Alligator mississippiensis: one gene and its partners. The protein of the gene in region 4 purifies or fractionates together with the protein of the main gene of each other region. This does not show direct contact. Links are inferred from orthologs where the notes say so. Each region holds a gene or a part of one and is shown on either strand. Other genes may lie near its edges.

Region 1 (7,301 bases), about 7.2 Mb from region 4:
CAGCTCTCTCAGTGGGCATGAAACCCAGGCGTCCCAGGGACCCCCCCTCACCCTGGTGGCGGGGGAGGGGGATGTCTCACCGAAGGTGGGCCGCACCTCGCAGGTCCGGCCTGGGCGCTCAGTGTCGAAGACCCTCACAGTCTTGTCAGAGCCACAGAAGAGCTGGGCCCCATCCGGGGTGAAGCAGAGCGAATGGGCGGCTGTCAGCTCGTCCTGGGGGGAGGGGGTGCATCAGGACACCTGGGGTCTCCCCCCAGCACTGCCAGGGGATGGAGGAGTGGAAGAAGGGGTGGGGCAGGGCCTGGATGCCTGGATTCTCACCCCAGGGCCACGCCAGGGGGTGGAGGTGGGGGTAGAGGCAGCCTGGACACCTCTGTTCCCTGCAGCTCTGGGGGAAAGTGAGATCTGGTGGGGGGGCTAAGGTGTAGGGAGCTGGGAGCCTAGACACGCAGGTACGCAAACACTCACCAGGTGGTTGTAGCAGCGGTATGTGGCCCGCAGCTCCCCACTGAAAGCATCCCACACGTGGATCGGGTTGTCCCGGCAGCTGCTGGCCACGCTGGGGGGTGGAGCAGACATGAGGGGAGGAGGCGGAGCCAGTTGCTGTCCCACCCCTGGGGGAAGAGCCTAAACCCCCAAGATGCAGCCAGCTCCAGGCAGAGCAGCCAAATGTAACCAGGCTCAAGGATTGGGGGGGGGGGGACGAGAAGGGGACAGCCAGGCCGAGTGCCCTGGCTAGGCAGGATCTGGCCCTGGGCAGGGCAGGACAACTCACAGGCAGGTGGACGGCTCAGCCGAGCTCATCAGCGGGAACCAGCAGTAGTCATAGATGGTGTCGCCCTCGGCCATGCACAGCACTGGGCTCTGGGGAGGAAGGGGGCGGCTCGGACACCTGGGTTCCCTCTGGCTCTGAGAGGGGGGTGGGGGCTGGGAGCCCAGACACCTGGGTTCCCTGTGGCCTGCAAAGAACAGGCTCCCAGATGCCTGGGTTCCCCGTGCCCCTCCAGGGAGGGCAATGAAGGGGCTGGAGGAGGGAGGGGATGGGAGCCCGGGCGCCTGGGTTCCCCCCCTCCCAGGCCCCACCATCTCAGCAGCAGGCCCCCCTGTGGGGCTGTACAGCTCGGGCGGCAGGTCATAGATGCGCAAGGTGTTGTCGGCGCTGTTGCTCAGCAGGCAGGAGCCGTCCGGAGCCCTGCAAGGGATGCACGTGCCAAAATCAGTTTCTCCTTTGTCTCCCAGCTGCCTCCCTGGGATGATGGGGGGGGATTTTGGGGTGCTGCCCCCTGCAGGTCAGGGCCTCCCTCTGACCCCAGCGCTGGACCCACCCCGCCCCGCCCCAAACCCCCTTCCCTTTCCCTCTGTGTATGTGTGTGGGGGGGTGTCTCACCACTTGCAGCCCTTGAGGAAGTTCTCAGGGACGTGGCCATACTCGGCCCAGGCGCCTGTCAGCAGCACAGGGGGGCGCCCAAAGTCATAGGCTGGCAGGCTGGGGGGGAGGCGGGGTATCAGGTGGAGCCAGGAGTCCAGACCCCTCCCCACTTTGACCCCCCCCCTCCCCCGGCCTGGGCAGAACCAGGTGTCCGGGCCCACCCCTCATACTCACTAATACTCCTCTTCTCCCGGCCCCGCCTCGGGCAGCCCCACCCCTGGCTCCGGCCCCTCCCCTGCATCCCCCAGGCAGGGGGTGTCAGGGGGTTCTGGGGGGACAGGAGCAGGCTCCCCCACAGCTCCAGAGTCTGGAGGTGCTTCTTCCATGGCAGTGGGGGTGTCAGATCCGGGGTGGGGCATGCCTGCCAGGAGAGGGGTCTGGAGAAGAGAGGCAGAGGTTTATGGAGGGCAGTGGGACCCAGGCATCCGGGTTCCCCCTCACCCCATTCACACCTGCTGGGGGGTAGATTGTCCCATTGCCCCGTGCGGGGGGCCAGGCTGGAGGATTCGGCTGTCCCAGTGCCCGGGGGGAGGGGCAGGTGGGGGGGCGGACTGTGCCATTACTCCAGGTTGGGGGAGTTAATGCGGGGGGGGGGACTTGAACTGATCTTGGTGGGGGGGTCAGGCTGGGGGGATGGACTGCCCATTGCTCTGGGGGATCAGGTCGGGGGGTGGGCTGCCCCTTTGCCCTGGGGCGGTCAGGGAGGGGGGTGCTGGAGTGTCCCATCACCTGCCCGGGCCTCCCGCAGAGACACGCGCTGCTCAGCAGCTGGAAGCCGCCATGACACCAACTCTCGCGAGAACTCGTGAACTCCAGCTCAAACCTCCCGCTCCCGCGTGAACTCGACGACCCATCTCGCGAGAGCCCTGCACCGGCCCTGACCTGTCGCGAGCGCTTCTTTGGCAAGATCTCGCGAGAATTTCGACCGGGGAGGTGCCGCGGCCGCTAAATCCCGCGGTCTTTCGGTGAGGGCCTCGCGCAACTTCGGTTCCAAGTCGTACCGCGCGAAATTTCGCGCTACCCTGGCCATCCTGCCTGAAAATGCCGCGAGATGTGGGCCCAATCTCACGAGATCTCGGCGGCTTGGCTGTATTTAAACCTTTCGTACGTCCCGTCAATAAGCCTCAGGCCCGGCCCAGCCAGTGCCCCTCACTCGCAACCCAAGGGCTTGAGGGACCCCGGGCTCTCGCCTTCCCCCCCCCCCCACCCCCTTTGTTACCCCCCCACCCGAGGTGGACCCCAGGCGCCCGGGCCCACCCCCGTTGCTACGGCGACAAGGAGCCTCAGGCCTCACGGAGATTTCGGGAGTGATGCCCTTGTTGCTACGGGGAGGAATCGGTGCTCGTTGGCGTGCCCGGGTGGTCGCAACGCCTCCTGCGCCCACCTGCCCCGGGCGCCTGGGTCCTTTTTCCCCACGTGTCCATGCGGCGTCCCGGACGCCTGGGGCCTTCCCCGTCTCGGCGCCACCGCCCGGATGCCTGGGTCCCTTCCCGCTGGTGGCGGCCGGCTCTGGACGCCTGGGTCCCACCGTCTCTCTCGGCGACGCCCGGGCTCCCTTTTGCGGGGCGCTGCCCGGGCGCCCGGGTCCCTCTAGAGCCGCACCAGGCCCAGGAAGGTGCCGTGGGGGGTGAGGTCCAGGGAGGCGTTGGCCCGGGGCACGGCCAGGCGCAGCCCCTCCCCCCGCTGCAGGTGGAAAGCACCTACGGGGCGAGAAGGGGCGGAGCCTCAGGGTGGGTCCCGGACCCCTCCCGAGCAGACGAAGGTGCCCCCGCCCCAACCCCCTCCTGGAGGCCCCGCCCACCTCCGCTGTAGCAGCTGTTGTAGGCCTGCTCCCGCTGCCCGGGCATGCTCTGGACGCAGCGCAGCAGGATCTGTCCCGGGCCCCGGCCCCCGGGGGGCAAACGCCAGAGCACCTGCCCCATGGTGAACGTGGGGTCGTGGAACAGCACCTGGGCAGAAGGGAGATGGTGAAGGGGGGCGTGCACGAGGGCGCGTGCACGAGGGCGCGTGCATGGGAGCAGGGCCCTACCTGGCTGTAGACGAGGTAGAGGCCCGCCTGGCGCACAGTGACGATGGAGCCGCTCAGCTCCAGGCCTTGGCCCTGCCGCAGCGCCGGCGCCCACCACAGCTCCGTCACGTCACCCTCAGCTGCGGGGACTGCGCTCAGCCCCAGCGTCCGGGGACCCCAACGCTCCCATCCCCTCCCAGAGAAGACCCAAGGGTGCAGGCCTATGTCCCTGCCCCCTCAGGGACCCAGGCATCCAGCCCCCACCTATCCCTATTGCCCCCCCCAGATGACCCAGGTGTCCGGGCCCCTATACCCCCATCCCCTCCTGGAGAATCGGGTATCTGGGCCCCCAATCACAACAGAAAACCCAGGTGTCTGCCTCCCCCGCCATGCCTCCATTGAAGCCCCCATCTGCTCCCAGAGAACCCAGGTGTCCGGGCTCCCAGGCCCCCCTGCTCCCACCCCATGCTGAGGAGCACCCAACACTCACCGTTGGTGGAGCAGTGGCTGGGGACCAGGTGCAGGGCCGTGCGTTGGCCTGGGAGGGGGGACAGACACCCCCTGAGGTCATAAACCCCCCCAACTCCCCCCCCATAGGATTGGGCCTGGGTCAGAGCCGAACTCACGGTGCTGGTGCCGTGGGCCGGGGGAGGGTGACGGCCTTTCGAGCTGCCTCCTGCTGCGGGGTGATACCTGGTGCGGATGGGAAGGGGTTAATGCCCCTTTGCACACCCCCACCACACCCGGGCCCCCAGAGCCCCACTCCAGCCCTGCACTGACCCCCCCCCCCAGCCCCCACTAGCTGGCCCCAGCAATGTGCATGTCTGTGTCCAGATCACCTGGGCTGTGCACGTGTGCGTGTGTCCTGGACACCTGGGGGGGCATCTGTCCCAGACACCAGGGTAGTGCATGCATATGGGTGTGTCCTGGGGGTGCTCATCTGTGTGCGTGCGCATGCTCTGGATGCCTGGGTCTTCTGCGGGGTCCTGTGTTCCCGGGGGGGGGGGGGGGGGGTGCTGTCCGGATGCCTCAGTTCCCTCCAGCTCGGGAGGGCTTTGGGCAGAGCCAGGACACCTGGGTTCCCTGACTGGCCTCCAGCCTCCCGCCCCCGGCGGGTGCTTTCCCCAGTCACTGCTTCCTGCTCCCTGGTTCCTCCTGGCCCTGGGCCAGGCCCTGGGGGAGGGTTAATGATTAACCCCCTGAAGATCTCCCCCCAGGGCCAGGCCACATGCATCTAAACCCCCTTGACCCCCCCCCAGACCAGCTCCCGGCAAGCACAAGGGACCAGGATGGGGCCAGGTAAGAGACCCCTGGAACCCCCCTGAGCTGGAGAAGGCCTGGGCGCCACCATCTCCCACAGCCCTGGTGTTGGCAGAGGACCCGAGCGTCTGAGCTGCCAGCACCCTCCCGGAGCAGGGAGAGGACCCAGGCATCCGGGCCCCCAGCCCCCCTCCTAGATCAGGGGGAGAACCCAGGCGTCAGGGCTCCCTGCAGCCCCCCCACATGACTGAGAGAGGACCCAGGAGTCCCGGCTCTCAGGGCTCCCTACTTTGACGCCCCTGACCCCACTTCCCCCCTCCCAGAGCAGAGAGCCAGGTGCCGGGGGTGGGGGGAGGTTCCTGGGCTCCCTGCAGCGAGAACCCAGATGTCAGAGGCTGGTGTGGGGGTCTCACCTGGGGGCGTCCGTAGGTCTTGGCCTCCAGCCGCTCCTGGAGCTGCTCCAGCTGTGCCCGCAGGGTGCCCACCTGCCTCTGCTGCATCCCCAGGGCTGCCAGGCAGGCCAGGACCCCCAGCACTGCCCCCCCTGCCAGCCATGGCGCCAGGGGGGGCCGCACCAACCCCCGTCCAGGGACCCCACTCATGAGGAGACCCCCTGCAAAAGGACCCAGGAGTCCAGGCCAGCCAGGTGTCCCTGCACCCTCCCCTTTTTAGAGCCCAGAGAGGACCCGGGCATCCAGGGCTCCCCGCCAGAGGACCCAGGCGTCCAGGGCTCTGTGGCCAGCGGGTGCAGGCCGTGGCCACCAAGTTGCAGGCGCCAGAGGCTCTTGCGCAAGGGGGCGGGGGGGGGGCAGGAAGCCGGGCCGGTGGCCAAGAGTATGCAGCGCCCAGCATGGGGGCGGGTGGCTGCCCCCACTACAAACTGGGAGAGAACCCAGGTGTCTGGGGTGCCAGTGGGGTGGGAGAAGCTGGGGGGGAGATGCAGCTGGCTCTGGGGTGGGTTGTGGATGGGTGTAACGGGAACCTCTTGTCCAGCATTGAGATGCAGCCAACTCTAGGGTGGGTCCTGGCTTCATAGAACAGGGACACGTAGGTTGGCACTGAGATTCATGCAGCTCTGGGGGTGGGTCATGGCTGGGTGTAACAGGGACCCCTTGTCCAGCACTGAGACGCAGCCACTTCTGGGGCGCATCATGACTGGATGTAACAGAGAACCCTAGGAGGGAACTGCAGCCAGCTCTGGGGTGCATCCTGGCTGCATAGAACAGACCCCTAAATTGACAGAGATGCAGCCAGCTCTGGGGTGGGTTATGGCTGAGTGTAACAGGAACCCCCAGGTTAGCACCAAGATGCAGCCAGCTCTGGGGTGGGCCTGGGCATAATGAGATCAGGCCCCGTTAGGTTCCTGGGAGGCTGAGGCCCGTACGCCCAACCCCAGCAGGGAGAGAACACAGGTGTCCAGGGCTTCCCAGCTCCTCCCCCTCCCTGCTCCCTTCCCCAAGCAGGAGGGGAGCCAGGAGTCCGGGCACCCAGTCTGCGGCCAAGCCTGTCACTGGTTCCACTGGTTTTATTTCTATTACAATAAATTTCTGTGTATAAAATTGTCAGGCCCCTCTCCCACCCTGGCCCCACCACATCAGGCTGGGGGAAGGGGCCAATGCGAGGCCCCACCCCCTCCCACCCGTGTGGGAGGTGCTCATTGGCTCCCAGCAGGGCCCTGCCCCGCCTTGCTCGGCTCAGCAAATGCAGCTGCTGCCACCCTAGCTTCCTATTGGCCGAGACAACCTGACCCTGACCGAGGGGAATTGAGATGCCCAACTTGGGGGAGCCCAGGCACCCTGGGACACCCTGACCTGGGGGAACCCGGGCATCCGGGTCCTGAGGTGCCCTGACCTAAGGGAACCCAGATGTCCAGGCTCGGAGATGCTTGCCCTGGGGAACCCAGGGACACCGTGCCCTGGGGGGACCCAGGCGTCCCAGCCCCATGGGACCCAGGCTTCTGGGCTTGGGAGGGGCCCAGCCTGGGCAAACCCAGGTGCCCAGGCTCAAGCTAGCGGAGCTGAAAGAGGCCCAGGTGGGTGAGGGAGGCGTCGGGCTTAAGACGCACACGGGGCACGGTGCCCAGGCGCAGGGTGGCACCGGAGGGCAGGCGCAGCAGCCCAGCCACACGACACCCGCGCAGCTGTGGCTCAGGGGGGCCTGCGCTGGGGGGGGGCAGCTGGTGCAGGCAGCGCAGTGCCGGCGCCACCCCCAACGCCAGCTCCAGCTTCACGTACACCCAGGCCGCCTCGTCGAAGTGCGCCTGCGGGGGGAGCGGGCATCAGAGGGACCCAAATGTCCGGGCCCCCGGCAGGGAGGGACCCCGGGAATCCAGGCCCCCGTGCCGGAGGGAACCCCAGTATCCGGCGCACCTGGGCATAGACATAGTAGAGGCCACCATGGGTGACTGTGAAGACGCCGCGTGCCTCGTCGTAGCGCAGGGGGCTACTCGCGTTCAGCCACGTCTCAGCCCAGCCCCGGATGGTCCCATCTGGCCCCGCTATGGGGGAGGGGGGGCAGCATGGGGTGAGGGGGAGCACAGGAACTGTGGGGCTGCCCAAGCTGGGAGAGAACCCAGGTGTCTGGGCTCCCCTGGCTGCCCACCCC
Region 2 (7,670 bases), on a different chromosome or scaffold from region 4:
AACTTTAATAGTCAATTCCCTGATTTCTTAGTCAGCTTTCCTTTTTGTTTGTGTTGATCTTTTACATAAAAGCAGGAGAACATTTATTAAGAAAGCTTGTTTGTAAAAACACAAATTGGCAAGGGACTCACAAGCAGCAGAGGATTTGAATGAACTTTCATGGGTTTTTTTGCAGGACAGGAGGCGAGGAAAATGCAGAAAAATGAAGCAGCGCTATTTAGACTTCAAGTCAACTACGGCACTTTAAAGCTCTGAATTAGTATTTGTATCATATTAAATCAGTCCTTTCTTCAACATCTGCACTGCTAAATGCTGTATTTAACCTTGATGATTATAACCATTGCCTCATCTCTATCCCTGCCATACTTCATCTCAGAGGTCAGACACATTTAGAACTTTGGGGAAGTAATTATAACTTGCCAGCCCACTATTTTTTGACATCCATATCATATATCAATCTCTTCCCAACACAGTGATGCCATGAAACTAGCTGATCTGTTGGAGCTATTAGTATTTTAGAGAAAATTCTCATACAGACCTTCCTAAATATACCTAATCTACCTATGTATACCCTTCCAACATAATCAAGGCTACATATAGTCCCACCTATCACAAAAGGAGTCTGAAACAAATGTGAAAGGGACTACCCAAAATAGACCTGAAACCCTGCGTGTACAATGAAGGAGTGATCTGTGGTAACATTCTCTGAGGAAGAAACTTGCATCTCAGGAACCTAACAAATACTTGAGACTTGTCTGCAAATTGCAGATCTTTCACTTAAGAAGGCTTTAAAATTAAATTTCCTACTGGACAGAAAGTTTTCGGTTTCCATTAAATACAGTGACAGCCAAAGATCATTTCTAATACCCACAGCCTGGCTTGAAAGATTAACATTTGGAAGCCAAAGCAAGTGTTCTATAATCAACTTCATATTACTTACAGATTTTTTCTGCTACCAGTAGGTTCTGTCAGCTTATTTATCACTGAAAACTACTGCACTTATTTTCAAGGCAAACAATTAAAAAACCCTTAAATTTCTACACTTGCGAGGTGACTCAAACATAGTATCAGTATTAAAAATAGATTTTCCCCAGGATCGTTAAGAAATTATTCAGAGGAATCCACCAGTATAGTTTGTTTTTTTCTGTAGCAGCTAAGCCGTTTGGCCTTATATTTAATTTGGTAGTTTATTCCCAACCCTTAATATTTCTGCCTAAGCATGCAAAAAAATATTTGCTTAAAAAGATAAAAGCAGTTCTTCCAATCAACACTAAATGAAAACTGACACCTACAAAGTGCTTCAAACCAAAAAGTTCAATAAAATTTTGCAGAACTCCCCAGACACCGTATCAAACCGATAGAGCAAAGGATATTATTACTGCCCCAACAAAGTGAGCTGACTGTAGGTGAGGAAGAATGGGGGTTGAACTGCTCCACCACTGTGATAGATGAAGAATCCCATATTTTAACATCGTCTCCTGCTGAAGCGAAGCGGATGCTTTCCTGCATGGCTGCACCTACAGGCATAAACAGAAGCGTAAAGAAAATAAGATCAGCAACAGTTCCTTGTGCTGGTTAAGATTTCTATCTGCAATCGCTAGCATAATTTTCATGATAAAATGACAAGACAGTGAGCTGAAGACATTAACTCTTATGCTCTAGATGCATCTTATTTAGTCTGTAAGGTGCATCTCTACCCTGCAAACTAACAAGTGAACTAACACAGCTAACTACCATTATGCAACCAATCTAAACAAATGGAATTTGTTGCCCCAAAGGTTAAAATACATTTCAGATGCAGTTACTTTCTATGGTACCATACCTAAACTTTTTGTATATTGCATGTACGTTGTATATGCTGAGCCTGTCAACATACTGTATCCCCCAAGTAAAACAATCGCTGTTTTAGGAAGTCAGAACCAAGAAGGAAAAAATTTTTTCCTCTTAAGCAAAGTGTTCAGAATCAGTGTCCTCATTTGAGAGACACATCCCAACCTTTGAGTATTAACTTTCAAGGGTGGAGGGAAGCGAGTGTGACATGTGAATAAATAAGTTATTAGCAAACAAAAGGTCACGAGTCTATGAAGCTACCTGGTTACCATCTGAAAACTCTTCCTCGGGCAGGTTGGGTCATTACTACAGACAGCTTCCCCATCCTTCCTTGCTTTGACCAAATGAGCAGCGGGGAGAAATACTGCTCCTTTGGTGGCTTCACACCAAGCCATGACGACTCGAGCCCCACAACAGCACATGGCACCAACCAGGCTAGAGCCCAAACCAACCCTCCAGGACAGGACACTTGGACCCTGGGGGGGGTCCTTTTTCCTCCACCTTCAGTCACATGATGTGGAGGGAGTGGGGGGAAGAAGTCCCCCCGTTTTGGTGGGGAGGTCCGGGGCACCGAACCCAGTCAGCGAGCTCTTGTCAGACGGCCCACAGGTGTGAAAGGTTGGTGACCGGGGAGTGGCGGTGATGTTATCCGCCACTTGCCTACTGCCCCGTTTCTGGGCTGGGGGGGCTGGAAGACGTGGCCCCGCGTGCTCGGCTGTGCGGCGCACGGCTAGCAGGTGGCATCGCACTGGCACGGACCAGGGCCAGGCACTGAGGTGGAGGAGACCCGGCGGGCGTCACGCGCGGGTGCCACCCAGGGGCCGCCAGCCCCGCCCTGGCAGCTGCTGCGGGATCGCCCCCCAGTCGGGCCGGGCGGGACGTACCACTTCCTTCCCCCGCCCGCTAGCACAGTTGGAAACAACCCTCCCCCCCTCCCGGGGCGCGCTTTGGAACCGCCCGAGGCGGCCGGCGGGCAGTACGGACCAGAGAGGGGACCAGGTCCGGGACACCCACCCGCACCCGAGACCCGCCAGGCCCGGCCTCCGCTACAGCGCCCGCCTCATGCCGGCAGCCCAGAGGCGCCGTGGACTTTCCGCGCCTCTTGCAACTTAACAGTCAGTCCCAACAGCCACCGCAGCGCCCTTTTCCCGTCCGGCGGCTCCGGCTACGGCGGCCCGGAGGGGCCACAAGGCGCGCGATTGCGTTCGGTTTCCTCGGGCGGTGGGGGTGGGGCTTCGTGCGCACTGGGGGCGTAGACTTGCCCTGTACAATGTCAGACGAGACTCGGGCCGCGGCCCCACGTAGCGCTGAGGCCAGGCTGGGATTAGGGGGCAAAATCCTTTTGGGATCGCCCCGCCGTCGTCCCACCCAGGGATAAGGGCCCGACTGCCGCCTCGTGCTGTTCTGCCAGCGCTGGGCCGGGCGCGAGGGGAGGCTTTCCCGCAGTGACAGTCAGGCCTGAGGAAGGTCTTGCATTGGCAGCGTGTCCGCCTTGATCCCAGCCACGCGGTCGGTCCAATTAAAGCCGGAGCCGGCCCTAAAAAATCCTTGCGTCTCGCCTCATGTCGGGACCCTTGCGGCTACACCACCACTGCGGGAATAAATTAGTCACCGGCGCATGAAGGCGGGGTAAAGTGGCACTGCAGAGGAGTAGTTCTCCACTTTTCTAGAGGCCAGGCGCTCTCCTCAGACTCCGGGGCCCCCAGAAAGTGGGAGCTCTGAGCTTTCCCTTATTTAAAAAAAAATTGACTATGGGAAAAATACTAGAGCCAAACTCGTGTGGCAAAGAACAGCTTGGGTGCTGCAGGTTCCCCTTTGACCCCGTGGTGAGGCACCCTTGAAAGGGGCTCAAAGCACTAAGAGTCGCCACAGGCTGGGGCTTGTTGCCCCTTGCGCTGCAAGCCGCACACGTGTCTGAGCACTAGCTAGCATTTGGCGCAGTCGGACTACAGGCCAGCAGGACCCCCTCCAATTCCCAGCTTCCCTCCTGCCCTCCTCCCGCTGGTAGCTGCCAGCACTGTCTGTCGCAGGGGAGCAGACAGGGAAACATTAACCGGCCTGCCCAGATGCCACTGCTGGCTGCTGATCTTCTGGCTGAGCCCACTCACAGAGCAGCAACAGTGGCTGGTTAACCTTTCCCTGCCTGCTCCCCAGGACAGACGGGGGAGGCAGCCACAAGTAAGCAGGGATCTGGGAAGGGCAGGGTGGGACAGGAGGAGCAATGGGCCTGATCTGGGCCCAGTTGGAAAGGGGGACAGGTGGGGTGTTTACACTAAGGTGTACCCTAGAGGGGTTGCACCTTAATGTAACACACAAGCTGGGCAGCACTCGCATGGATCAGAAAGAAACCACACACCTGGAGTGGTGTACCTTTGAGCCACTTAACAAGTGCTGAAAACCAGTTTCAGGCATTAATGTTTGGACAGTCCAGGTGTTGAGCGCTCCAAAAGTCACCCAAAATTACCATGCAACAACGCCCTTGGAGTCTGACTCAGAGAAGCATAAGCTTCCACAAGCATCAGCCTACTTCCTCAGATGCTGTCTCCTATGAAATCTTGCACCTCTCCAAACCAGCTAGACTAAGGCCTGCCTATCTTCAGCAAAAAATAAAATCTCAAACTTAAGTCTTGGTCTTAACTTTGCCATTTAGAACCATTTTTAATCATCCTATTTTCAGGATTATGAATAGGAACTGCAGGCAGCATATTATTTCCAATAACCAATCATGTAACAGACTTTCTTTGTATACCCTGACACTGGTGATCAATGTTTCATTGCCATTGGCTTTTACAAGATAAAAATTTTATTTGGTAAACTGACAGCTGCCAATTCCTCACATGAAATGCTTCATGAAATGCTTCAGTTTTAATATTGCCTTTGCTTTCTAGCTATAAGCGGTATATTCTGTAGGAAGAATGTCAGGAAGACTGCCACTGCAAGGCCATTAAATATAAAAAAGGAGCAAAACTAAATGTTGAACATTCATTTAGACCTTAGCTTCCTTGCCTATGGCTTTGCTTTCAAATAAGTCTTTCCCTTATAAATGATCCTCAACATTGTTAAGTATAAAATATGCCTGTTGACTCTTGCTGATGAAATGCTGATTTATCTGGTTCATTTCTTTTTTCCTAGTCTGTGTAAGAGAGCCAAGGTAAAAAAACAAACAAAACATAGCCCCCCCCAATCATATTACCAGTATAAAAAATGCCATTATTTTTCCTGACAGTTTTTAGCAAATGTGTCTTTATTCCTTACATCCATCATCATCACTGATCATTGTTCATGTTTTATATCCTGTCCTGGTAGATCTTCTCAAGGGAATCCTGTAGCATTAATCAAAGATATTTTACTTTGTTTAGGATAAAGGCCTGATTATTCTGTTTCATTGATGTAAACAAAGAGTAACTCTAAGTCAGTGGAGTTACACAGATGCAAACAACCTGGATACCTAACTCAGATGTTTAGCATTTTGGTCAGGATAAGGTTGGCGAATACTTACACTCTCAGAAGTGCCCCATCCTCAGACTTGAACCAGTCCATAGCATCACTTGAATAGATGGTATGGAAAAGGTTCCCTAGGGAGCTTGTGCTTGCAAGAGGTTGTTAACATAAGAATTGCCATTTACTGGGTCAGATGATGGGTCCATCTTGCCCAGTGTCCTGTCACACAGGAGCAAAGTGGATGCTGAAAAGGAGAGTGAACTGGGTATGACCAGTGTTTTTTCCTTTTGTTACTCTTACCATCTGTGGCTGCCAAGGGGCATTGAATCCATTACTACTAGTGCCAGATTTTGTTTTGCACCATCTTCCACAAAAATTTCAAATTACTACATTGTGTTCCTTTTGTGGAGCCTCTAAGACAATGGTCTCCAACCTTTTTAAGTAGCAGATCACCTTTGGCATTTAAAAGCAACCCAAGATCTACTGTGTGCTACCATCACCCCTCCCCCGCAGGTAAATCTGTGGGAAGGGAAGGTAGGGAGCAGGTCAAGGCAGAGGGAGGAGAAATTATTTGAGGGCGTGCCTCCCCAGCAGGTAAGTTCCAGCAGGCCAGAACCCCACTCAACTTACCCCTGCTCCTGCCTCTGCAGCACTGTCCTTCACCGCAGGGGGCCTCGATCTAGGTCCCGCCCCTTCCCTTCCCCACAGACTGACCTGCTGGGCTGGGGCGCACCCGTGCATGCACGCAGGCACTCAACCCCCCACCCAGGCCTCAGATTGACTCCGAGAGGCTCTAAGATCTACCGCAAGAGGTTCCGAGATCGAGATCTGCTGGTTGGTGACCACTGCTCTAAGAAATCAATGGAAGCTGACCGCTTATTTCTACTGATGATATATTAACCCCACAACATGCTGTTTTATTACATGCCAGCACTGTCCCAACTTTGAGGGTTTTTTGAGTGCTATGTCGCTGCCTTAAAAGGAGCCGGTGGACACAGTTATTTAGCATAAAATAAAAGGCAATGAAGTCAACCTTTTCTTTCATTAAGGCAGTACATTCAAACTATAGGTAGCAATATATCATGGCTTATATAGTATATATTCCATACCTGCCTGGTAGCCATTCCCCATCAGGGTAGCCATGAGTGCTAATGTATAATGCTGTTGGCAGTGGTGACATGTAGGGGGTGCAGGTGCACCCCCAAGAGCATTTGTGCAACCCCTGACAGCCAGCATTCCCCGCTTAGGTGATGGGCAGGGGGGGCAGGCAAGAGTGCTGGTGTCCCCCTTGAGAGTGCTGGCCGGGGAGTGGGAGCACCAGGAGAGGCGATCCCCACGGTCCATCTGTGACTGATCGCACTGACCCAGATGTACTGTGCTGTGCCACACTGCTGGCGGTTCTGGGTTGGTGTGACACTTCCGGGTCCATGCAATCGGCCGTGCTCTCCCTCTTCCCTCAATTGCTGACTGGTTGCTGGTGGGGCAAGTTCCCCCCCGCCCCAACTTAGGAGGCACCTGTTGCCCATGGCTGTCAGCTCCATTTTGATGCCTGCAATATCCTGCAGTATGCTTTATCATATTAAATTATTCACCAATAGAACATTCTGCCCACTTGATTTTTGTCTACTATTAACGTAACAGTAAAGACCCTTGAGGAAGAGCAGTAGTAACCATAACAATCCACACTAATAGTGTCCTGTGTAATCTGAGTCAATAGAAACAAATTTGAAACAAGTGTGAATCTGCCATTCATCTTTGAAGGCACTACAAATCAAGACTTCTAATATTTTACACTTATCTCGATTATAGGAATTAATGGAAGCAGATCTTTTGCTGATATAAATGACTTCATTATAGATGCCAAGCTGAACCTAATTTTAAAAAGAGCATGATAATTGGTATTTTTTTTTAACAGTTCATTGTTTCAGGTAGGAAATTTAGGACAAAACTAATAGTTTTAAAGTGATTTAAATACTTTACTTAAAGATAAATACTTTACAATTTTGCAATTTTTGAAAGCTCAATTATTAAATTTTATGTTGGCACTCACAGTTATTCATATTTTTAAATAATAAACATTTTTTAAATATTTACATCGCTCTTTCAATATTATATCCATGGCCAGTTCAGCTTCTATATGAAGTGATGTTTATCTAAAAATCTTCTTATCTAAAAATCACTTTCAACAGGCACCTTTTTCCCCTCTCTGGAGCTGGTAATTCTCTCTTCTCCCTCTGTCAGAGAAATGTCACTTCTGCTTAGAGCTCAGATATGAGTGAACTTTTTAAAGTTCAGAATTCTTTCTCTACTTACTTCCTTCTCAATAACTTAATCCTCCCACTATGTTTAATGACTGGGAATATGTAAGGCTTACAAAATGTTTAAAACCCCTTTTATTT
Region 3 (7,702 bases), on a different chromosome or scaffold from region 4:
AGGGGATTTGGCCACCGGGAGAGGGGGGGTGTTGGGTGCAGGGGTGCCAGTGGAAGGAGATGCTTTGGTGGGCTCCGAGGCAACACCATAAGGATGCCCTCAATGGCCCTTCCCTTTAGTGGAGAGGGGGAAGGAAGAGTGTTAAGCAGTGGGGAAACTGAGGCACAGAGCAGTTTCCACCCCACCTCCAGTGGAGATGGTTTGTGACAAGCCGGCCTTCCCCTGCCCCCCCCCAAAATGAAACCTAGAATCAGGCTGGGGGTTATTCCAGCCAGTTCTCCCCGGGCGCATCCACCTGCTTGGAGGGGGCAGAGACCCCGGGCTGGCCTGTGCCTGGGCCACTGTCCAAGTCATCCAAGTCTCACGGCAGGTCCAGCCTGACCCCGTGCCCCAGCTGTGCACAGCTGCTTTGCAGGGTGGCTGTTGCTCTGGACTGGTCTGATGTCCCCAGCAGGCAGACTGGGCTGGGGGGGGAGCGGGGAGGGGGTTAATGCCAGGCTGTGCTTCCCCCTCACCCCCCAGCCCATTCACCCTCTGCCAAGCTGCTGGCAGGAGAGGGGCTGGCTGCAGAGAACTTGGCAATAGGGTCAGGGGGTGTGAAAGAGCTCGCCCGCCCCTCCGCTAGGAGCTGCCAGGGCTGGGGGCTATATCGTATAGTGCCAGGGTGGGGGGCTATATCACCAGAGGTGCAAGGCGCTGCATGGCTGGAGACGATCTCTGCCTGGAGAGCACTGGCAGCAGGTGGGAGAAGGAAAGGAGGCGTATTCCTCTGGGGAGAGTGGGATCTCCATCACTGGATGTTTTTAGCCCAGGGGGAGAAAATGGGGCTGGTTCAGGGATGAGCCTGCCTGGAGCAGAGGGCTGCATTAGATGTGCCCCCACATCCCCTCCCAAGGGACCTGCCAGCCTGATGAGCCTAAGTGACTTGACCAAGGCCCCGCAGGCAGTCCGTAGCAGAGACCCCCCATCTCCATTGGGCCGTGGGGCACGCAGCGTGGCAGATCCCCACGTCCATCCCTGTCTACACTAGCACCTTCTGGCCTAGCCAGGTGGGGAGGGGGAGGGAAGGCAGATCCTACATGTTAGCCCCCCGACCCCATACCGTGCTGCTGACAGGCGACATCATGCAGCAAGTAAATAACATAATTAATAAAAGATTAGGATGAAATGTGACACATTAAATATTTAACCCTGCGGCTGCCCGCGCCGGAGGGCCAGACACAGCTGGCTTCTGCAGGATGTAAGGAGCAGGGTTATTTCCAACACCCCCCCCAACACCCAGTTTAACCCTAAAGAGCAGAAGGCTGATGGGGGTCCATGGAGGGGTGGATGGGAGGATTAACCCTTGGAAGCCTCTCCGCTAGGGCTGAGTGGGGCTGTCCGTCCGTCCGTGTGGGAGAGGAGGTGTTGGGGGCTAATTGTTACAGCGGTGGGGGGAGAGTAGGGTACAGGAGGGAGAGCAGGGCAGCTGCGAGCCAGGACTCCTGGGTCCTGTTTCCAGCTCTGGGACGAGCAGGGATGGTTGGGGGTGAGTGGGGAAGGGCTCTGTGGATTGAAGGAGGGAGCAGGGTGTAGCGGTTAGAGCAAGGAGGACTAAGGAGGAGCCCGGATGCCTGGGTTCCCGTCCTAGCTCTGCCACCGACAGGCTGCGGGGTGGGGGGCAAATCTCTCTTCCCCACCCCATCTGAAACAGGGCCTGTAATCCTTCCCGGCTCCCGGGTGGGCTGCAGCTTAATTGATTTGAGTGTTTCCCTGCCCCGGGGAGCAGCAGTTATTCCAAGAGCTGATGGGGGGGACAGGAGCGGGGGTCTATGGGGAGCCTGAGATGACTCCTGGCCTGGCCACCTCCTCTGCTCCCAAATGCGGGGCCGATGCCCGTTTGAATTGGGTGATAAGGGGTGGTCGGGCACCAGCCGGAGGGCAGGATGTGCCCTGAGATCTGGGCCGGAGGAGCCCCTGCCTTCCCCGCAGCTGATAGGCTTGCAGATAATTTTGCATCACTGATGAAATCAGCCCCCGGAGCTGCTTGGCCTTGGGTGCGCTGTAATTTCTTCTCTCCTTCCCCAAAGAAATGGTGCAGCACGTCGCCCCGTGGCGCTGCTTAGTCCTGCGACGGGTCCCTCCTGCTCCCTTTCATAGGTGGGGGAACTGAGGCACGCCGGCCCTCCGCAAGATGCAGGCAGCAGAGCCAGGATAGGACCCGGGAGTCCTGGCTCCTGGGCCCGTGATCGCTCTTTCCAGTGGATCCCCTCCCACCCGAGGAGTGAGTAGATCCAGTCCCTGCGGCTCAGGGGTTCCCAGCCCTTCCCATCTAGGGCCCCTGTGTCTACCCAGGCCAGGAATCGGGGAGACGTGGGGGATGCTCCTGGTGACCCCAGGACCTGACCGCTCCATGCCTCAGTTTCCCCATCCATGAAGCAGACATGCTAATGCCTAGTGTCTGTCTGGAGATGGGTGCAAATCTCTCCAGAGAGATCAGGAAGGCCATGACCCCCCAGTGCCTGCTTCCATCCACTGGCATTTTCATAGACTCATAGACAATAGGGCTGGAAGGGACCCCGGAGGATCATTGAGTCCTGCCCCAGGGGCATGAGAACCCAGTTTTGCTCAGTCAAGCAGAGGCCATGGAGAAGGGGGCTAATATGGGCATTGCCCCCAAGAAACTGGCCTGAGAATGGGCAGGCCCGGCCTGGTATTGCGCGGTCCCCAACCAGCGACGTCCCTTCTATCCGAACCCCGCTGGGTGATAAGGCAGTCCCCGGGGGATGCATCTGCAGCCACTTCTGGGGTGGAACACGGCAGCGTGGGCAAGCGCCTGCCTGGATGACTGCTTCGTTATGAATTACGGGTAGCGCCTCAAGGCTCGGGGCCTGGCCGGCCCACCGTGCTAGGTGCTGCACGAATGCTTCCAGCAGCTCGGGGATCTGGAAGGGCCAGAGGCTGCTTGGGTTGGTTTTTAAGGCTGGGGAACAAAGTGAGACCGCGCTCGGATGGGGAATCCCAGGGTCCCCGTGTCCCAGGACCGGCGGGACATGCAGAGGGAAGAGCGCTTTACTGTCTTGCCTGCAGCCCTGTGGGCAGGGAGCTGGGGGGGGGGGGGGGGGGGGTCCTATTGTGATGGATGGTGCCGCTGTGCTTGGTGTTAAAGGGATGTGCTGCTCTCTGCACAGCCTGAGTCATGGCCAGCAGGAAAGCCTTGCCTCCGTTAGATCAATGTGCTGTAATTATACCAGCCAGCCACTTCGGGCGGGCGGTGGAGGGAGCTGGGCCCCACGTTACTTTGATTGACAGCGGTGGGGAGCTGCAGCGCGGAGGCTGCTGGGGGCTGTAGTCCGGGCCAGCTGTGCTGGGGGGCGAGATGGGGTGCTTCGTGCACTCGTCCGGTGCCAGCGGTGCCCTGCTACGCGCAGCGACGGGGGGCAGAGCCCTAGGGACCAGCCGCCTTCGCGCCCAGCTCCCTGGAGCAGTCCTAGGCATGGGGCTCTTTGCAAAAGGAGCCTGAGCTGCAGGCTACCCTGGAAAGGGGGGAAACCGAGGCACAGAACTGACATGCTCCAAGCGGCCTCACTGCTTCATAGCACCTGTGCCCCGCACCTGGCAGGGAGGGGCCTGGTCTCCGACCGCTCTCGTGCCAAAAGGCCGGAGGCGGCATGGGGCGGTGGCACCAGGCACAGCCATGCCCGAGGCCGAGGACGCTCTCGCCAGGCGGGGGCATGGGGGTATCTGGTGGGATGCACCCCCAGAGCTGCCCAGGCCTGGCACCCTTGCCCCAGATGCTGCCCCAGCTGAGATGGGGCTGGGAAACCACAAGTCCCAGCCTGCCACTGCCACTGCCCCACCCCGGCTCCCCCCTGCTTCTCCTCCTGATTAGCCTCCGAAAGCTTTGACATCATGGACCCATGTGGGAACTGGGAAGGCGCATTGGTTGGCGCTCCCAGCCCACGGCAGCCAATGGCGCCGCGTCCACAGTAGCCGAGGCTGCAAAGCTCTTTAAGGTGGACCTGGGCAGCCCAGGGCGCGGGCGTCCTCCTGGGTCACCTGCCGGCCCGAGCATCCTGCCTTGGCGTCCAGCACAGCGCTGGTCCCCTGGCACCGCTGGCCTGGGCCTGGGGGCTGGCGTGAAGGCGAGGCGTGGGGCAGCGCGAGTCGCCCCGCCAGCCTTGGTCCAGCAGGAGGCGCTGCGGTGCCCGGGGCAGGACAGCAGCTTGCTCGGGGCATTTGCTGCTCGCTGCCCCAGTCGCAGCCTCTCTAGCCCAGTCCAGGCTTTCTCTCGGGGCGCTGTGTGCCCTGTGTTCGGCCCCCTCGGATGCCCGAGATGCCAGACCCTGATCCGGGCATCATCCTGCGTGGACAATGCCCAGATGATGCCAGGGGTGGAGGGAGGGCTGGTTTCCAGCCAGGGTCCGGGAGAAGGAAGCCGGGGGCTGGAGGCTGCTCTGCTCTCCTGGCTTCCCCCCGTCCCCCCTACGGTGCCCGGGGGGCTTCAGAGCAACTTGGGGGCACCAGTGCACTCACGGGGCACTGAAGTGGCTGGGGAGGGGGCACCAGCGTGGCCAGGGGACCCTGAAGTAGCTGGGGAGGGGGCACTGGAGTGGCTAGGAGGCCGGGGGAGGCATCAGAGCAGGCAGGCGACACCAAAGCGGCTGGAGCTGGGGGGCGGCAAATTGTGGGTCTGGCCGAAGGCACCGCTGCCTGCGGGAGCTGGTGCCTGGGGGGTGCCTGGGGGGCGCCCCAGCTCTCCCAGCGCCGTGGCCAAGGCCTCTCCTGGAGGGCCAGAGCCACCTTAAGGCGCGCTTCGCCAGGCTCCCCTGCTTTCTCTGCCTTGCCAGGAGGTAGTTTTTATTCCAGCCAGGGACCGCTGCTGAAATCCGGCCAGATTTTCGCCTGACCTTCTGTTCCTGCTGGGTTTTTTTGTCCCCCCCCCACCCCATGCTTTAAGGCCGATTAGATTTCCCCCCAGCCCCGTGTCCGATGGGCCGCTCACGACCCGCCGGGGAGGGAGTCCTGCTCCCCTCTCGCCCGGCGGAGATCTCCGCTCCGGCACCCCCAAAATCCTTGCATTTAAGATAAAAAGAAAAAAAAAAAAAAGCCTGGTCAGAGGAAGCCTTGTGCCCGCCTGGCTCGTCCTGGGCTTTGGCTGCCCTCCTGATCCTACGGCGGCTGTTGGAGAAGTTCAAGTGCAGGGGTCCTGGGGGGGCTAGCGGGGGCCGCCCCCTTCCCCTGGCTGGTAGCCGTTTGGGGCCAGCGGCTCAGGATGTACCCGCAAGGACGGCACCCTGTAAGTACCAGCCCCGCCACTGGCTGCGGGGGTGCATGGGCAGGGGTAGGGGGGCACTGGGCTCTGATCCAGGCGCGGGGCAGGGGCAGGTCCCCGATGCACGGGGCATCGCGCTCATGCCCCCTGTGCTTCCCTCCCCAGACCCCGCTCCAGTCCGGGCAGCCCTTCAAGTTCTCCATCCTGGAGATCTGCGACCGGATCAAGGAGGAATTCCAGTTTCTGCAGGCACAGTACCACAGGTGAGGGGTGCGGGCGGGCTGGGGGCGGCTGGGGGGACGGCGGGCATTGGGGGTCATTGAGGGGGGCAGGAGGAGAGTTTTGCCCGTGGCAGCTGGCTGGGCTGGGTGTGGGGGGCAGGTGAGGCAGGGGCCTGATAGCGAGGACAGGGCTCAGCCCCCTGCTTGGAGAGGGGGGAGCTGGGAGGAGCATGTGAGCCCATGGGGAGGTGGATGGAGGAGACTGGTTGGGGGTCAGGAGACCGCAAGAGGCCATGCGCCAGGTCCCGGGTAAAGGGGGCAAGGCACAGAGCTTGGTAGTACCAAGCGGGGAGGCAGGGAGCAGCTGGGGGTGCCGGGGGGGGGGGGGGTCAGGTCCTGGGGTTTGCCAGGCAGGAGGCATTTGCATGGTGGGGGAAGAGGGCAGGGGGCGAGCTGGGGGGGCTTCAGGTCAGAGGAAGACCCCAAGAGCTGGCGCAAGCAAATGCTTGGGGGAAAAGGGGTGCAGGTCGGGAGCCAAGATGCCAGGGTGGGAATACAGGCACCGGGGGTGGGTCGATGCCATGGGAGCCCTGCCGTCCTGCGTGCCACAACCCGCCGGCAGCGGGGCAGCAGGGGCGGGGGGCTGCCAGCCCTGATGCTGGGACCCTGGCGGGGAGGGCAGGGTGGCACCAGCCTGCCCTTGTGACCGAGCGGTTTGTCCGCAGCCTGAAGCTGGAATGTGAGAAGCTGGCCAGCGAGAAGACGGAGATGCAGCGACACTACGTCATGGTAAGACCCCCACTCATCCCCACCCCGCTGGAGCCAACGGGGTGGGGGGCTCACCCTCCAGCTGGGTCCTCTGCACACCGTGGGTCCCTAGAGCCTGGCTTGGGAGGAGACCCCCCCCCCAGCCAGTGGGTGCTGCCAGCAGGTCACCCCGGGGGTCTCCCCGAGTGGGGGGGAGCATCAGGCAGGAAGGAGTTAAGCGCTAGTCCTAGCAATGGGCTGGGGGGGGGGGCAGCTGCTGTCTGCTGCCTCGGTGCCAGCCTGGATCCAGGCCATGCTCTCTGTCTTCCTTTTTGCCCCGGTCTCTTAATTATACAGGTCTCTGCCCCCCCCCCGGGGTGGGAGGGGATTCCTGGAAGCAAAGGCGCAGAACCCCCCCACCTCGTGCTCCCCACCATGATGGCAGGGAGCAGCATCTGTAATGGCCAGCAAGGGGTTAATAAATGGGCTGGGAGCCCTGGCATTGCCCAGCCGAACTGGGCACTGCCCAGCTCTTTGCAAAGGAGATGCCCAAACATCTTGGTGGGTGAGGGGGGAAACACCCTGGCCCCCCTGCCCAGGCAATGAGGCTGGGGTCCTGTCCATGCTTGGCTATGAGTCCTTTCTGCCACCCCCTCTCCCCCCCACTTCACCGCACGGGTGCCAGTTCCCCGGGGGAAATATGCGCCAGTGGGTAGAGCAGGCATGTTGCGGGGGGAGGGCAGGCGGGCATTGGTGCCCACTAAGCTCAGGCAGGACCTGGTGTGAGTAGGACATGGGGCAGGGGAGGGTGGGCTGCACAGAGCCCCTCTCCTGCAGCTGCTGGGGCTGGAGGGCCAAGCGGGGGGGCTTGTCCTGCTAGTGCCCAAGAGAGGGACCCCGCTAATGCCCCGTGGGACCCCCCTGTAACTGGACGGTCGTCTGGCTTCCCTTGCAGTACTACGAGATGTCCTACGGGCTCAACATCGAGATGCACAAGCAGGTGAGTGCCAGGGGCCCAGGCCCAACGCGGGGCAGGCGCTCCGCCCTGGGGCACAATCCTTCCACGTTGCCCTCAAAGGGGGCGTTGAACCCAGAGCTCACTGACGCTGAGCTGGGTGGCACCAAGTCCCGGTGGGGAGCGGCTCTTGCTGCGCTTGGCGCTGTACAAATGCCAGGACCCTGAGGAGCACAGGGGGGACAGGGCAGGGATGGGGTCCCTGAGCAGGGACCATGTCCTTAAGCCTTAGTGGGTGTATTGAGGTGCCTAAATCCCTCTGACACCACAGGGACTGAGATGCCCGCCCACACCTTTAAGGACCTAAACCCCTTTCCCAGCCAGCCTTGGCACGGCCTCCCCTCCGCCAGTGGTCTCGGGGCCAGGAGGGCATGGCGGGGTGCCCGGAGCGGCTGGTGGCAACCGGACCTCGGCTTCCCCCCTGCTCGGAGCCGGCACAGTGTTTTCCAGCCAGCCCCGGCCCCT
Region 4 (6,982 bases):
TCTTCCACTGACAATGAGACTGGGTCTCATTGACAAAAATCCACTGACAAAAATCACTGGGCACTGATAATAAACAAATAAACTCAAATCATTATAACTGTACCTCTGTACAGTTATAATGATTTGAGTTTATTTGTTTATTATCAGTGCCCAGTGATTTCTACAGAAATATTTCTCATTCATTACAAGCTCTGTATTTACCTGCTTTCTGTTTTATGGTGGTTACAGACAATGAAATGAGATCTGCATTTCAAATATTAACATATGCATCAGATTTTCTTAAGTGAAGACAATCAAATAAGTATCAGTGACAAGGGTAACTTACAACCCCGTGACAAGTATGTACACATATAGAATTTGTGTCATACCAACTGCATATGATCAAATTAATTTGGGAACCAGTCTTGTTTCAAAAGGCTATAAGCAATCTTGAAAACTAGTCTTTTCAAGAAAATTAGTAGCCATAGGAAATCTTAACTAGTTTGTCTTCCGCACTTTGTCTGGGATGGGAGACCTCTTTTTTCAGGACTCTGGAAAATTCCAGAACATCAGCATTGCCAGGGTAACGTGATAACTATTTGGTATTAAGGAAAAGTGATCAAAACTGAAGACTCACTTCGCGAAGAATAGCATTGCCATCGTTGGTCATCACAATTCCACCCATTGGGTCCAGAAGCATCTACATCAGAGAGGAAAAGTAGTGGTAAGACTGCCTGTTAAGGCACACAACGCTGCTGAGCCATCTAGCACAAACAGAAAAAGCTTTTACCTTCATCATAGCTCTTGGTCCCAAACATGTTCGGATGATGTCAGCAATGGTCTAAAATGAAAGGAAAGTGAGATGATGCAGGATTTATTCATAAATTGGCACATGTTCTGCTTCTCTTTTCTTTTCTTAAAGGAAGTATCATGATAAAGGGAAGAGAGGAAAAAAAAAATCAAGTGATAATGCTCCTAGGGAGAATTTCATACATTTTACAAAAGCACAATAGTAGAAGCTTAGGGCCGACCCCAGCAGTCTTTCCTGCCTAGAGCAGGGGGGCTGGACCTGATGATCGCACAAGGCCCCTTCCAGCCCTAAACTTCTATGGATCTGTGAATAGCAGTTAACATGCAGTAGTGAAGAGGGATAAATAAACAGCACTGAAGAAAATCAACTCATTCAGACCAGCATGTCAAGGATTGTTCCACACTCTAAAATGAGATGATCCCTGGTCTGACTCTATGCTTTCACTCCTTTAATCCCTTGCTTCCAGCGATCAGGATTTCATTAATAATGTCTTTAGTGTTCCAAAAGCCAAAACAGATTTAGATAATCCTTGCCATCCATGAAAAAACGCAAGCCTTCTAATTGCTGAAAGTGATCCACTGATTTGACAGTTGCTTCAGTGCAGCAAAAAGCAGGATTTTGTCAGCTGTAAAAATACAATTTAGCTATTAAGATACCACCTGCAAATTTCTAGACCTCATCATCTTCTCAGTCAGAATTTAGCAAAATATTGGCCAAATGAGATATTAAGACAGAAACATTTATAGTATTTGGTTAAAGCTTCCTTCTTTCACCAAAAGAGCACTTCATCCCACTGCAAACATCTAGCCTAGCAAAGAAATGTTCATCAGTGTTTCCTCTGAAGACCTGTCAGGAAATATCAGCAAGGAACTGAGTCAAAGCACCAGCTAAAGACCTTCCCAATTTGTTGCATTTGCCCTTTTATAACTTGTATAACTGAAAAAGTAAGATGGTACCTTAGCAGCATTGATATTTCCAGTCTGGACCTTCCTTCCAGACTCGCGTTTCATATTTTGACCTAAATGGAGCAGGAAAAGTATCAACAGCAAGAACATAACTGAAATCTAATCCTGCCAGTGCGCTTCTGAGCAATATGAAGCTGAAGACCGACATTGAACTGAATAATAACAATGTGTCAAGGATGCAATTGTGCTTAGACATGCTTGATTGTTAAGCAAAGGGGTGAATGTAGGGGAGGGAGTACCAGAGATTCAACCCCCGGCACGTTTCCCTTAAAACGTTAACAAAAACAGCACCTTTAAAGGTTTCTAAGCCCTATTCGGCTATATAAGTATGGGATGATGTAGGTGGGAACTGTCTTGCTTTCAGAAGGGGGTTGGGATTAGCTGTGACCTCCTGAGGTCCCTTCCAACCCTAACTTTCTATAAGTAAAGATGCGCTCCCGAGTAGAAAGCACATTCCCAGATAGGGCAATACAGGAGGTGTCTGGATTACAGCCTTGTCATGAAAAGGGGTCAAAAACATCGAACCTTCAATCTCCCCAAGGACCTGCTATAAGTGGCTGCACAGTAGGTTTGCGGTACTCTGGAAAGGGGCTGTTTTAAGGATGCTTCACTGTCATGACGAATGAAACCGCTTCAGAAACGTCCAGTGTAAATGAAGGACCCACCCGTGAACAAATCCCCACACTCGTCACCCCCATATCAGGCGACCTGCTACCGTTGCGGTCCACCCCGAAGCATTCCCCACCCATATAAAATTTGACACTGCTTCTCCTTTATTAAGAGCCCAGTTTGGGGGGGCTGAAGGGGGGACGGAGGTGGCGGTGGGGGAGAAGAGAGCAAGGGGTATGTGAGAAAACAGGAGCTTGCATTGGGAAGAAGAGAAAATCCCAATTTAGGAAGCCCCAGTGGAAAGTCTCTGAAGGGGGGGGGGCAGGAGCGAGTCGCACAAAGACGAGGGTTCGGTGACAATCAATGGTGAGGGGCATGGGGCACCGGGGGGGGGGGATACTGGGGACACCCCACGGGTGGGGCGGGATTTGGGGGGAACCCATGTCGGGGCGTGGGGGGGGATGGGGGACCGCGCACGTGCGCACTAGCGCAGACGGGAGAGGGGACCCTTGCACCCCCCGCCCCCCCACTTACTGAGCACGAGCACGGGGCGCGAGCCCATCATGGTGGCGGCGGGTCGGGAACCTTCTGGAGACAGGGAACCACTCCGACAGGCGCCGCTTCACCGTGCCGAGGCAACCTACCCCGGCTGCCGCCGCACCCGCCAATCGCTGCCCGCGCCCGAAGCCCGGCAGCCAATAGGAAGGCAAGGCTCCGCCCCTTCCCTCCCAGCCCAGCTTGGTTGAGGCGAAACTCCTCAGCGCGTGGGGCCTCGGCGCCAACGTTGGGCGGGGACCGGCGGCACTGCGCATGCGTCGCAGAAGCCGGCTGAGAGCACATGCGTAGTATGCAGGTCGCAGGTGAGAACCGCGCATGTCCGCGCGTGCGCACAATGAGAAGAATGCGGTGGGCATGCGCGCAAGCGCCGAGTAGCGGTTGAATGGCGGGGCGGGGGAGGCCTTGCCGCCCGCGTTCGGAGCCGTCAAGCTGCGGCCGGGCTCGTTCCGCAGGCGAGTGGCGAGGGAGAACCTGCTAGACTCCTGCAGGAGCCGGAGCCCCTTGGTGTGGGGCACGATGGGAGTCGTAGTCCCCTGCAGAGCCCCCGGCTCACGGTGCATCCTGGGAGATGTAGTCCACCCCCCGTCTCGTCAGGGCTGGGCTGCGCCCCGGGGGGCCATGGGAGTTGTAGTCCAGCCCCAAGGCCTGATGGGGGCTGTAGTTTGTTGCTAGCCAGAGGCCTGCGCCGGCTGCTTCCTTCTCCTCCTCCCCAGGCCTGGGGCTGGAAGTGCCCCGTGCCACTTTGCGCGCAGGAGGCAAGGAAAGGTGCACCTTAGGGGCTAACTAGATCCCAGAGCAGGAGGGGTCACACAGTGAAACCTGCAGGGTGGCACTAAAGAGGATGGAGCTGTTTATTCTGGTTCGAATCCCAGTGTCAGATAAACTAGGATCTGTTCATAGTGGGGGCAGGTGGTAGAACAAGGAGCAACGGGCTCCAGTTGCAGCAAGGGAGGTTTAGGTTGGATTTTAGGAAGAACTTTCTCACGAGGAGGGCAGAATCATAGAAGACAAGGGATGGAAGTGACATCTCCATTCTTGAAGGTGTTTAAGGCCTGAATCGGGATGATCTAGTTGGGGCTGGTCCTGCATTGAGCAGGGGGTTGGACTAGATGGTGGTTCTCAACCTTTTTTGTACCAGGACCCATTTGTAAACATCAATGGCTAGTCACGACCCAGTGCCCTTTGCTTCCAACCCACTTCCCCCAGGCCCCAGCCACCTACTGCGTGGGGCAGGAGATAGCTGTGTGAGGTAGAGGAGGGGTGTGTGAGGCAGGGGTGGCCCCCAAGCAGCCCTTCACAGGCTGGAACTCTGCCTGCTTGCAAGGGAAAAGCCATGGTTTCCCACATTTTTAGGAGAATCCATTTTTAAAGTTTGTTCACGACCCGTTCATATATTCCTGCAACCCACTTTTGGGTCACGACCTACAGGTTAAAAACATTGAACTAGATGTGACCTCCTGAGTTCCCTTCCCACCCTCATTTTCTGTGATTCTATGAAGTTTAAAGATAACCAGGAAGTTCTTTCTCACTCAGCGTGGGAGACAAGTGTGGAACAACCAGATGTGGGGGAAGCTGAAAGTGTGGCCAGACTCACAAAGGGATCGGACAAATTCTTGGAGGAAAGGGGCATCAGTAGGTATGGAGCTGGGGAGTGAGGGGCACAGTCTCCGAATCAGAACTTCCTAGGCCGTAAATGCTGGAGGCTGCAGGTGGGAGGAGAAAAATCTTGGTTATTCCTAGTTCACTCACCCTTTCAGCATTCGCTCTTTGTCATCATGTGTCATAGGACACTGGGCAAAACAGATCTATGGCACCAAATGGCAATTCTTATGTGTAAAGCTTTTCTGTCTAAGAGCAGCCACCCTGAGGTCTAAATGCCTCATTTCACATGCTTCTCTTGCTATAATTTTCCCTATCACTGTGACCCCGTACATGAATGTTGCAATGACCTGACTGCAGTGCAAACAGAAGGTGCATTCTTGCCTGTATCCAGCCTCTTTCCTTTTAAACTATCTCAGCAGATAACCATGTTTTTTCCTTCTCCTTTGTAGTTGCAAGCTTTGTTCCTACCCAGATAGAGGCAGACTCAAGCACTCAAGAAGAAAGACAGCATGGGATAAGTAGGTTGGGTGTGTTTATACTTTATTTACAAACCACAACTTAACTGTCAGGCTGGAAGCTTTGCATGAGCATTGGCATTAATTCTTGCTGTGCCAAAATATACATTCATACAGCACTTTGCACCATGGAGTTCCAGTCCATGACTGAGACTGTCAGAGCAGCATAAAGTATCAGGCCTTCAACTCTGGAAGGTCTTTTCAGAAGAGGAGTTACCCTACCAATGGAAAAGCCCTTCCTACATTTACCTTTTTACCTCACTGGTATAGTGCAGTCATTCATTTATTTTTCAGACAGGCTGAAAAGCTCCTCTCAGATGTTGTATTCCTATCTCCCCAGTCCTGCAGCTCCTTGTAGTTATTTGTTGTGTAACACTAGTGTGCGCAGGCAGCTCTGAGAATGCAGTGCTGTGGGATTTCTCCTGCAGATCCTGCCTTTTCCTTTAGACAGAGGATGCAGGAAAAGGGTAGCTAAGCATCTGCTACATTAGCCACTAGTCAATCTCCCTGCTGGCAGGCTCAGCTGAACTTCTAAAGGACAGTGTGTGACATGGAGGCCCCTGTCCCATTTTGTAGCTGCAGATGTAATTTCTGAAGGAAGATCTGTGGCAGGGAGCTTTTAAGTAGATACAAAGTCCAGCCTCCAAGCATGGGGAGATGCTTAGATTGGCCTTTGTGGGGCATCTGGGGCTGAAAGGTGCTACAGGAGAGTCAGGGCTTGATGTTATAACTGTCATGGTGGAAAACACCCTGATGACCCCTTCTACCCACTTTTTCTCTGTTTCTCAGAAGACTCAGAGAACGTTGAACATCCTTCTGCGTCTTTTAAGCTGTTCCATCCTGCCAAGCCCTCCCCCAGCTTTCTTGAGCTTCCATTCACCCAGCGCAGGCCCAGCCGGGGTCACCGCTGCATCCAGGCTGTAAGGCTGGGACACAAACAATTCTGTAAGTGTCGGACCCATCCTGAATGCCGCTCATCACAGACCAAGCCCTTGGAATCCGGGGGCACATGGCAGTAGCCTTATGGGGTAGGGACTCTTCTTGTACTAGCACTGAGATAACATAGAGTTTGGGTGATAATTAATTAACTAAAAATTAACTGCACATGCATTTGGGGTTCTGGTCCAAAAGTCCCCCCTTCTTTCTCCTCCTGTGAGTTCATTCTGCTTGGCACCAACCAACATGAGGAGAGGAGGCCCTTGGGGTCTGTCAGCATCAGTGGGTCTGGTATATCCATATCACTTGTGTCAGCATCAGGAAGAGAAAAGATCCTCCTCTGTAGCTGATACCTGTAAGGGCAAAGCTGGTTGTGGGTTACAGAGCTCTGTCTACACCATAGTCATGGTACCCATATGGCTGTGGCCAATGGGAAGCCTCAGCAGCTGGAATCAGTAGGACAGTTAATTAGCTCTTTGTGCAGGAAGAGGAGAGGAATAACTAACCCTCCAACCCCTTCTCCCGCAGCCCCCGACCATCAGCCACAAGAGTGCATGGGCCTGCTGGAATGCATGCACAACCATCTCCAGATTCAGACCAAGATGGTGCAGGCCCAGTTCAGTCTGTTAGAGGGGCTGCAGGAATCCTTAAGCCTGCTCCAGGCCACCTCAGAGCGTAGGGGTAGGCAGCAGGACAACTCAGAGACTGGCCATCAGGGCTTGACTTCCGCCTCCAAATGATGTGCCCAGGATGTGGTTGAGCTTGGAGTCCCATTTCTTCTTAGGTTGCCTCATCTCTGCTGCAGCTTCAGTGCCGGTGATCACCTCTAGAGCTCTTGAGACTGGGGTTCCCGTTGTGATGCCAAGCACCACGGTTATGGCTGGAGCCAGTGCTTCTAATAAAGTTGTTGTAAACACGTCCTGTGTGAGCTTTTCTCCTGCATGGCTTTCCACCCTTTTCTGTTCCCCTGTCTCTGGCTGCAACCATAGATAGATAGATAGATAGCT

The links.
Region 1: the proteins of CCT3 (region 4) and WRAP53 purify together in Homo sapiens (co-immunoprecipitation; 3 studies listed by BioGRID and IntAct, with this or other methods). This does not show direct contact. The link is inferred for Alligator mississippiensis from reciprocal best matches to the Homo sapiens genes CCT3 and WRAP53.
Region 2: the proteins of CCT3 (region 4) and NEDD1 purify together in Homo sapiens (affinity purification with mass spectrometry; 3 studies listed by BioGRID and IntAct, with this or other methods). This does not show direct contact. The link is inferred for Alligator mississippiensis from reciprocal best matches to the Homo sapiens genes CCT3 and NEDD1.
Region 3: the proteins of CCT3 (region 4) and transducin-like enhancer protein 2 purify together in Homo sapiens (affinity purification with mass spectrometry; 3 studies listed by BioGRID and IntAct, with this or other methods). This does not show direct contact. The link is inferred for Alligator mississippiensis from reciprocal best matches to the Homo sapiens genes CCT3 and TLE2.

What each region holds. Positions count from the first base shown.
Region 1 is NC_081838.1:24,752,583-24,759,883, reverse strand, and holds the start of WRAP53 (telomerase Cajal body protein 1), read right to left. Parts: upstream 3,005-7,301; 5' UTR 2,814-3,004; exon of another isoform or gene 2,725-2,813; intron 1,807-2,724; 5' UTR 1,789-1,806; coding exon 1,604-1,788; intron 1,487-1,603; coding exon 1,388-1,486; intron 1,193-1,387; coding exon 1,084-1,192; intron 865-1,083; coding exon 776-864; intron 560-775; coding exon 469-559; intron 214-468; coding exon 81-213; intron 1-80. Other genes in the region: tumor necrosis factor, read right to left, coding at 3,020-3,129, 3,231-3,378, 3,459-3,577, 3,928-3,975, 4,064-4,130, 7,067-7,194. UniProt on the Homo sapiens protein: RNA chaperone that plays a key role in telomere maintenance and RNA localization to Cajal bodies. Specifically recognizes and binds the Cajal body box (CAB box) present in both small Cajal body RNAs (scaRNAs) and telomerase RNA template component (TERC).
Region 2 is NC_081827.1:94,737,972-94,745,641, forward strand, and holds the start of NEDD1 (protein NEDD1), read right to left. Parts: upstream 3,018-7,670; 5' UTR 2,945-3,017; intron 1,518-2,944; 5' UTR 1,510-1,517; coding exon 1,371-1,509; intron 1-1,370. UniProt on the Homo sapiens protein: Required for mitosis progression. Promotes the nucleation of microtubules from the spindle.
Region 3 is NC_081839.1:3,787,713-3,795,414, reverse strand, and holds the start of transducin-like enhancer protein 2, read left to right. Parts: upstream 1-4,695; 5' UTR 4,696-5,254; coding exon 5,255-5,278; intron 5,279-5,419; coding exon 5,420-5,517; intron 5,518-5,722; exon of another isoform or gene 5,723-5,784; intron 5,785-6,200; coding exon 6,201-6,264; intron 6,265-7,177; coding exon 7,178-7,222; intron 7,223-7,702.
Region 4 is NC_081838.1:17,548,331-17,555,312, forward strand, and holds the start of CCT3 (T-complex protein 1 subunit gamma), read right to left. Parts: upstream 3,007-6,982; 5' UTR 2,930-3,006; coding exon 2,899-2,929; intron 1,809-2,898; coding exon 1,747-1,808; intron 821-1,746; coding exon 770-820; intron 680-769; coding exon 617-679; intron 1-616. Other genes in the region: TSACC (TSSK6-activating co-chaperone protein), read left to right, coding at 3,937-3,963, 4,456-4,558, 4,974-5,051, 5,829-5,984, 6,504-6,715. UniProt on the Homo sapiens protein: Component of the chaperonin-containing T-complex (TRiC), a molecular chaperone complex that assists the folding of actin, tubulin and other proteins upon ATP hydrolysis.